2 linked regions of the Saccharomyces cerevisiae S288C genome follow. The gene in region 1 interacts genetically with each later gene. Each region holds a gene or a part of one and is shown on either strand. Other genes may lie near its edges.

The links. Genes that interact genetically often act in the same process or in processes that back each other up.
Region 2: mutations in SHB17 (region 1) and TAL1 impair growth when combined (synthetic growth defect), as found in Saccharomyces cerevisiae (one study listed by BioGRID).

Annotation. Positions count from the first base shown.
Region 1 is NC_001143.9:520,397-524,478, forward strand, and holds SHB17 (sedoheptulose-bisphosphatase), read right to left. Parts: upstream 1,317-4,082; coding exon 501-1,316; downstream 1-500. Other genes in the region: SUN family protein UTH1, read left to right, coding at 1-228; UIP5 (Uip5p), read left to right, coding at 1,619-2,950; YKR045C (uncharacterized protein), read right to left, coding at 3,022-3,573; PLN1 (Pln1p), read right to left, coding at 3,827-4,082. UniProt on the Saccharomyces cerevisiae protein: Sedoheptulose 1,7-bisphosphatase involved in riboneogenesis. Dephosphorylates sedoheptulose 1,7-bisphosphate (SBP), which is converted via the non-oxidative pentose phosphate pathway to ribose-5-phosphate.
Region 2 is NC_001144.5:835,273-839,411, forward strand, and holds TAL1 (sedoheptulose-7-phosphate:D-glyceraldehyde-3-phosphate transaldolase TAL1), read right to left. Parts: upstream 2,086-4,139; coding exon 1,078-2,085; downstream 1-1,077. Other genes in the region: BUD8 (Bud8p), read left to right, coding at 1-891; ILV5 (ketol-acid reductoisomerase), read right to left, coding at 2,794-3,981. UniProt on the Saccharomyces cerevisiae protein: Transaldolase is important for the balance of metabolites in the pentose-phosphate pathway.

The sequences.
Region 1 (4,082 bases):
GCCCCAGTTGTCTTGGGTGCTGGTTACACTGATGGTATCACTTACTTGTCCATCATTCCAAACCCAAACAACAAAGAAGCACCAAACTTTAACATCAAGATCGTTGCCACCGATGGCTCTACCGTCAATGGTGCTTGCTCTTACGAAAATGGTGTCTACTCTGGCTCTGGCTCTGACGGTTGTACTGTTTCAGTTACTTCTGGTTCTGCTAACTTTGTCTTCTACTAGGCCTTTTTTCCTTGAATATTGCAAATAAGCTTTTGCTAGTACTTTTTTTACTCCGTTCATTTTATGGTTTATTTTTCAATTAGTTCGTTTTTCCACAATACAAAAAAACACAGTCCTTTGTACTATCCCTTTTATTTCATTATTTTTTCTTTTTTAAGATACCACTAGATATTATCATATATAGCATATTATATAACATAAAAAGTCAAGAAAAAAAATGTTTTTATCACTTTCTATAACTGCATATCTTTTTTTGCATTTCGAATGATTGCTTACACATCGCCATGCTGGGATTCCTCCTCTGGTGGTGAGACAAATGGACCTGCTAATTCCAATGCAGGTTCGTCAATGTTGTGGTGAGCGTATGACAAAACACCAATCCCACCGGCGTCCAGTAAGAAACATGGATTGTCTACCAAATGTCTGTAAGATTCCAATTTCACATATGGAACTGTGTCGTCATCATAAGATTTGACATTTTGAATTTCTTCAATCGTCTCACACTTCTTTTGCACACCCAGTCCAAACCAAATAGCAGCAAAATAACGCAATGCATGTCCGTGCGCAAAGACCATGATGTCTGATGCTCTGCCCTCACTCTGGTGCTTGCGGTGCAAGTTCTGGATTCTGGCAATAGCGCGGGAAAGTCTCAACCCAATTTGCTGAGTAGTCTCACCGTTCTCACACCCATCTCTCCAGATATTCCATGGCCTCTCCTTGTCCAAACCGCGTGACTTTCTCAATTCAATGATTTCTCGAGTCAGCATTCCCTCGTAGTCACCGTACTCCCACTCTCGCAAGTCGTCGTCTACCACCACACGGATCTTAGCTCTTTGCTCGTCGCTTAATGGTTTCAAAACCAAATCCACAGTTTGCCTGGCACGCAAACGTGGAGAGGTGAAGATATAAGTGATGTTGTCTGGATTCAAAAACTGATTATTGCGGAAAACACTCTCACCGGTCCTCAACATTTGGCCCTCACCGTAGGGCGTTAACGGTAGATCTGTCAAACCAGTATACTGGCCTGACTTGGACCATTCAGTTTGACCGTGTCTGACAATGATACATCTGGGGGTTAGCGAAGGCATTGTTGCTTGCAATTAAGTGTAGGTGTTTCCCTATCCACTTAGCTATGAACAAAATGTGCTTATCTGAGCTAATATTTTTTCATTTTTGTCCTATAAATAATAATGGAAAAAAAAAACTCATCGCGTGGTTGAACAGAAAAAAAACAATAAGAGTGAGTAAGCAGTGAAAAATGTAAGATTTACGCTTTATATAAGCAGATTTTGGTTTCCTTTATATATTTTTGCATTTGTCTATCCTTAACATTGGATAGCAATTTGGCGGTGGGTAGTTTATAACGTGTGTGCTCTCTCTTTAAGTAACGATGTCAAGAGATGTAAGGGCAGAGAAACTAGCCATATCACTATTGATTTTATCATTGTTTCTAATATTCCAATTAGTGGCTGAGATTTATCTCAATAATGGTGATCAGTACCATACAGAGACTAGCCCCTTTACAAGAGGAAGATCACATGTAACGCGTGTGCCCAACCATGATGCTAGTTTATCTATACCGTTTTTGGACAAGATCAACCAGTTTTGGCATGTAGGCGGTGCCACGCAAATTAGGAATATTCAGTCGATCAAATTGACTCAGGACCGTGATCAAGATAAACATGGATTAGTATTGTCCAATGGAATTGGCGACAACACCATCAATGACTTTGAGATTGTTTTCACTTTCAGAATTTCTCACGACCCCACTACACAACTCACTGGTGATGGAATGTGTTTTGCCATTACGCCCGAAAATGGGTTTCTCACACAGAATTTACAGTCGTCGTATGCGAAAAAGCAATACATGATGAATTCTCAGGGCGTCATAGCCGATAATACAGATCTGATGGGCTTCCCGAAAAATCTGCCTGGCCTATTTATTGTCTTGGATACGTATCGCAACCAAGGCCACGACCATAAGGAGGTACCCTTTATGGATGTGTTTATAAATGTGGCCCCAGAAAGCGATTGGTACGATATAAATAGTGATGGTGAACTCAGTACATCGCTGCGGCTTAATTCAAGAGGCCACATAAAACTCAAGAAAAATGCCCTGTGGAATCGAGTCACGAAACTAAGAATAATATATTTGGAAAGTATAAGCTTCCTGAAGATCGACGTGCAGTACGCAAAAGAGGGAAACTACTGGATTGAGTTATTTCAAACAACCGAAAATCTGTACTTGCCGAAAAACATGCACACGGGGCAAAGATACATTGGCTGTAGCGCATTAAATGGCCAATTAACGGAGACAGTGGAGCTGCTGGACGTATCCACTAGCGAATTCCATTGGAACGACATGGATGCGTCCATTGAGGACACCTATGATTACGCAAAGGAAGCTGAGCTATTCCTGGAGCAGGAATTTGGCGAGGTCCTTGACAGGGAACCCGATGAGTTCACCAAATGGAAAATGATCAAAGCTCAACCAAACATCAAGACTGGGTCACAGTCAGCTGAACAGAAAACTTCAAACAATCCTCACTCTCGGTTGTTCAAGGTCGTGCTGACCATATGGCATTATAGCGAGATTTTGCTATTGATCATGGGCATTTATCTTTTTTCTGCTTGCATAAGAGTTTTCCAAAGAAGGTTCAAAAAAATTAGATCCAGAAGAAAAAGGGCAGGCTCGCATTCTGTGGGGCTATTGCCCATGTAGCATTGCATAGGCACGCACATACATACATACACAAATAATACAATATAGGACGTTCATCTTAGGTAGCCAATTCACGGTCTTCTTGTGGTAGTGTTACTTGCGTTCGACGGCGGGAGGGTTCTTGATCGATCCAATATACTCTGTGGTGGGATGGCCAGAACGCTAGAATTCGTCTCAAACGTCCTGTTAGAGAATATTGTGGGCCTCGTAGACTGTATTGAATGAATGTCCGAGAAAGTAGACGACTTCACTGACGAGGAACAAAACGATACTAGCGGAATAACACTTGCGTTGTCGTTTTGTTGTTGCTGCTGTTGCTGCTGCTGCTGTCTTACTTTGCCTGTTGGTGGTTCATCCCATGCCACTCGACGGTCTCCTTCGTCATCGGATTCGCTCGAATGCAACGAATTTCGATCAACCAATGGTCGCAACGACGAACTGATGGTTGTTCCATCCGGATCCAACTCAGCACGCTTAACTCTTGTGGGGCCAGCCCTAGTGCCGCGTCTTGGTTTACTGCTCGAGACCGATGCGTTAGTTGTGGTAGTGGTGTTTATTATTTTTTTAACCCACACTGAAAGTTTGTTTCTTCTTCCCTGGGATGTATGATGACTGTTTGACATGCTAGGACTTTCCCTTGGCACCATGTATATTCACTTTTATTGTCTCTTGATCGAGCTATAACCAAATTTTTTTTTTTTTTTTTTTTTTTCGTTTTTATAATTTTTTCTTTGGTATTCAATTGTATATAGTGCTCAAACAGCAACGTACATAATAGCTAGCAAACAATAGATGAAATAATAGAATAATAACAAATAACTATATAAGAGTGGCAGGAAAAAAAATCAGGCGCACGATTAGCGCAAAACCAAATTACTAATTGGTCGACACAGCCGCGGGCTTAGAATTGGTTTGGTCTTCTCTTGAGGCCTTTAGCTTCTCAATGGTGGCATTGCCCAAGTCCAACCCGGTGGATACAATGGCTTTAGGGACGCTTTCAGATTTACTTAGATTGTTTTCATAGACAGTGGTGAAGCGTTGGTAGGTTTCGTTAAGCTTAGTCTTTGTTGGGTCGATGTACACAGACTGCAACTTGTCAGTTGTGGGCTTCACTATGGCGTCGTACTTTTCT
Region 2 (4,139 bases), on another chromosome or scaffold:
AGGAAGATTAAAATTCCTCAGAGTCCATCGTTAATTGGTAACATATTGATTCCTTCACACAATAGTGACAGTAGTAACGAAAGTTCTCCTAAAGACCATATAGGGCATAATAATGAAGAAAAATTCAGTTCAAAATCTACGCGCAAGCCCTCCACATCCCTAGAAGAAGAAGGTCCACCAATTGGACTACCTTCAATTCCCGTATTAAGAAGTGTGTCCGGACCAAGCAAATGGACGAAGACACCTTTACGCTTAGAATCTGGAAATTCAACTAAGTCTGATCCATTTTCACGCTATGAAGGACACAAGACGCCCTCTCCATTGACCAAGATGAACAAGAAGAAAAATAAAACGTTGCCAGAACATGGACAACCCCTCGTGCTAGCTCCAATTAAATCTCAAAGCTCGGAGTCAGACACGGGACAGAACTCCATTATAGAAAAGCCAGCTCGAAGCATACGACGAAAGCAACAAGAAAAAACTGATAATAGGAAAGAAGACAGGCACGATGCTGAAAATATAGACCTGGAGGCGAGAATGCCAATTCAACATATCGATACCGCTTCCATTCATTCGTTTGATTCAGGTCAAAATGGATTCAGGGACGTTTACAGCATCGAAAACATCATTGTGATCCTCCTATGTTGTAGTATAGTGCCGCCATTATTTTTTATTATTGGCTGCAGCTCAAGAAGGAAATTAGTTTCAGACTATAGATTAATGAGGTTGCTTATGAATAAAGAACACCGAGCGGCTTTGCTGCAAGGATTCATATGGGACGTTGATTTAAGGTGGTTCCGGATGTTTTGTCTGATCTTAGGGGCTGCCGAAACAGTGATTGTGATGGCCGGTATTGCTATTGGATTTGGTGTGGGTATAACACGTGAATAAGAAACTGTATCATTCATCAAATAGGATAAAAAATAAAAAACTGTTCTGTCTCGTTAAAGTCATATATATAAATAGGGGATTTTCATTAATTTATATATATAGATATACTTGTGTACATGTACCCGTAAGTATCAAAAGAAACGTGCATAAGGACATGGCCTAAATTAATATTTCCGAGATACTTCCTTAAGCGGTAACTTTCTTTTCAATCAAGTCGAATAGAGTAACAATATCGGCAGAGAATTTTCTGATACCTTCGGACAATTTTTCAGTGGCCATAGCGTCTTCATTCAAGTCGAATCTGAATTTAGATTCGTCGCTGATGTAAGAAATCTTGTCGCCGGCTTCCTTCTTAGCGGAGACAGGGTCCAAAACTCTTGGGAAAGGTTCAGTACTGTTCATCAACTTGTCCAATAAAGCTGGAGAAATTGTTAGATAGTCAACACCAGCCAAGTTTTTGATTTCGTCAGTGCTTCTGAAAGAAGCACCCATAACAATAGTCTTGTAACCGTACTTCTTGTAGTAGTTGTAGATTTTCTTGACGGAAATAACACCTGGGTCGGCTTCACCCTTGTAATCTTTACCAGTGCTGGATTTGTACCAGTCTAGAATTCTACCAACAAATGGGGAAATCAAAGTAACTTGGGCCTCGGCACAGGCAACTGCTTGAACGAAGGAGAATAATAGAGTCAAATTACAGTGGATACCGTCCTTTTCTTCCAATTCTTTGGCAGCTTGAATACCTTCCCAAGTGGAAGCAATTTTAATAAGGACTCTTTCCTTGGAGACACCTTCTTGTTCAAACAATTTAATGATATGTCTAGCCTTTTCAATGGTAGCTTGAGTGTCAAAAGACAATCTAGCATCAACTTCGGTGGAGACTCTGCCTGGAACAATCTTTAAGATCTCCTTACCGAATTCGACTAACAATCTGTCCACAGCATTTTCGACTTGTTCTTCGGTGGTCTTACCATGCTTCTTACCGTATTCCACGGCAACATCGATCAACTTGGCGTAAGTTGGTTGCTTGGCAGCAGCCAAGATCAATGATGGGTTAGTTGTGGAGTCTTGAGGTTGAAACTTGGCAATAGAGCCGAAATCACCAGTGTCGGCAACAACGACAGTGCCGGAGGCTTTCAATTGTTCTAGAGAGTTGTTAGCAACCTTTTGTTTCTTTTGAGCTGGTTCAGACATTATGTACACGTATATGTGACGAGTTCGAGAAGTATTTTACTATCGTACTAAATTTTACCTGAAAAATTATATACTCGAGAAAGAGGAAGCCAAGAATTGAGAAAAAAGAAAAACCCGCGAGTAAGGAAATTAAATACAGGTGTACACATACACGCACACATATATATATATATATATATGTATATGTGTATATAGGAAGCGCGCGCATGTTAGTATATACGATTCGTTGGAAAGGGGCCGTCCACCAAACGTGACTTGACGAGTTGACAAATTGACCTCAATATGGCTCAGTCAGTAATTTTTAGTTCCGCTTTATTCCCGCCATCTTTCAGGCCACGAGGGTAGCTCATAACGCCGCGCTAATGCCGCTGCGTCACAGCAACCAGTAGCTCAGCCAAAACCGAAAGAGAAATCGTAGCTGTCCCGATGAGGACTTATACACTTGTCACCATCTAAATAAATTATTTATTCGCGTTTCGGTTCTTGTTTTCGATTTAATTAGATTGTTCATTGAATCATAATAAATATGTAAAAAATATATATATTTGAAGCTGCTTCAGAAAAACAGGGCTTCCTAGTGTACAGATGTATGTCGGATGAAAAAAAAAAAATCTTAAATGTGAAATTGGGTCAATTCAATTGACTATGACTTGATGTTGCAAAAATTCCAAGAGAAAAAGTTTCCAGCACTTGATATTATTTTCCTCTTTATTGGTTTTCTGGTCTCAACTTTCTGACTTCCTTACCAACCTTCCAGATTTCCATGTTTCTGATGGTGTCTAATTCCTTTTCTAGCTTTTCTCTGTAGTCAGGTTGAGAGTTGAATTCCAAAGATCTCTTGGTTTCGGTACCGTTCTTGGTAGATTCGTACAAGTCTTGGAAAACAGGCTTCAAAGCATTCTTGAAGATTGGGTACCAGTCCAAAGCACCTCTTCTGGCGGTGGTGGAACAAGCATCGTACATGTAATCCATACCGTACTTACCGATCAATGGGTATAGAGATTGGGTAGCTTCTTCGACGGTTTCGTTGAAAGCTTCAGATGGGGAGTGACCGTTTTCTCTCAAGACGTCGTATTGAGCCAAGAACATACCGTGGATACCACCCATTAAACAACCTCTTTCACCGTACAAGTCAGAGTTGACTTCTCTTTCGAAAGTGGTTTGGTAAACGTAACCGGAACCAATGGCAACGGCCAAAGCTTGGGCCTTTTCGTGAGCCTTACCGGTGACATCGTTCCAGACGGCGTAAGAAGAGTTAATACCACGACCTTCCTTGAACAAAGATCTGACAGTTCTACCGGAACCCTTTGGAGCAACCAAGATAACATCTAAGTCCTTTGGTGGTTCAACGTGAGTCAAGTCCTTGAAGACTGGGGAGAAACCGTGGGAGAAGTACAAAGTCTTACCCTTGGTCAACAATGGCTTGATAGCAGGCCAGGTTTCTGATTGAGCGGCATCGGACAACAAGTTCATAACGTAACTACCTCTCTTGATAGCATCTTCAACAGTGAACAAGTTCTTGCCTGGAACCCAACCGTCTTCGATGGCAGCCTTCCAAGAAGCACCATCTTTACGGACACCAATGATAACGTTCAAACCGTTGTCTCTCAAGTTCAAACCTTGACCGTAACCTTGGGAACCGTAACCGATCAAAGCAAAAGTGTCGTTCTTGAAGTAGTCCAACAACTTTTCTCTTGGCCAGTCAGCTCTTTCGTAGACGGTTTCAACAGTACCACCGAAGTTGATTTGCTTCAAACCACGGGTAGTGATCATTGGCTTAACGAAACGGGCAGCTGGTCTGCTGTAAGCAGCAGCACGGGTGGCCAAAGCAAAGGTTCTCTTAGCAGTGATGACACGGGAGTTGCAGATCAATCTGGCGGCTTGAGTTCTCAACATGTTTTATTTTTTACTTATATTGCTGGTAGGGTAAAAAAATATAACTCCTAGGAATAGGTTGTCTATATGTTTTTGTCTTGCTTCTATAATTGTAACAAACAAGGAAAGGGAAAATACTGGGTGTAAAAGCCATTGAGTCAAGTTAGGTCATCCCTTTT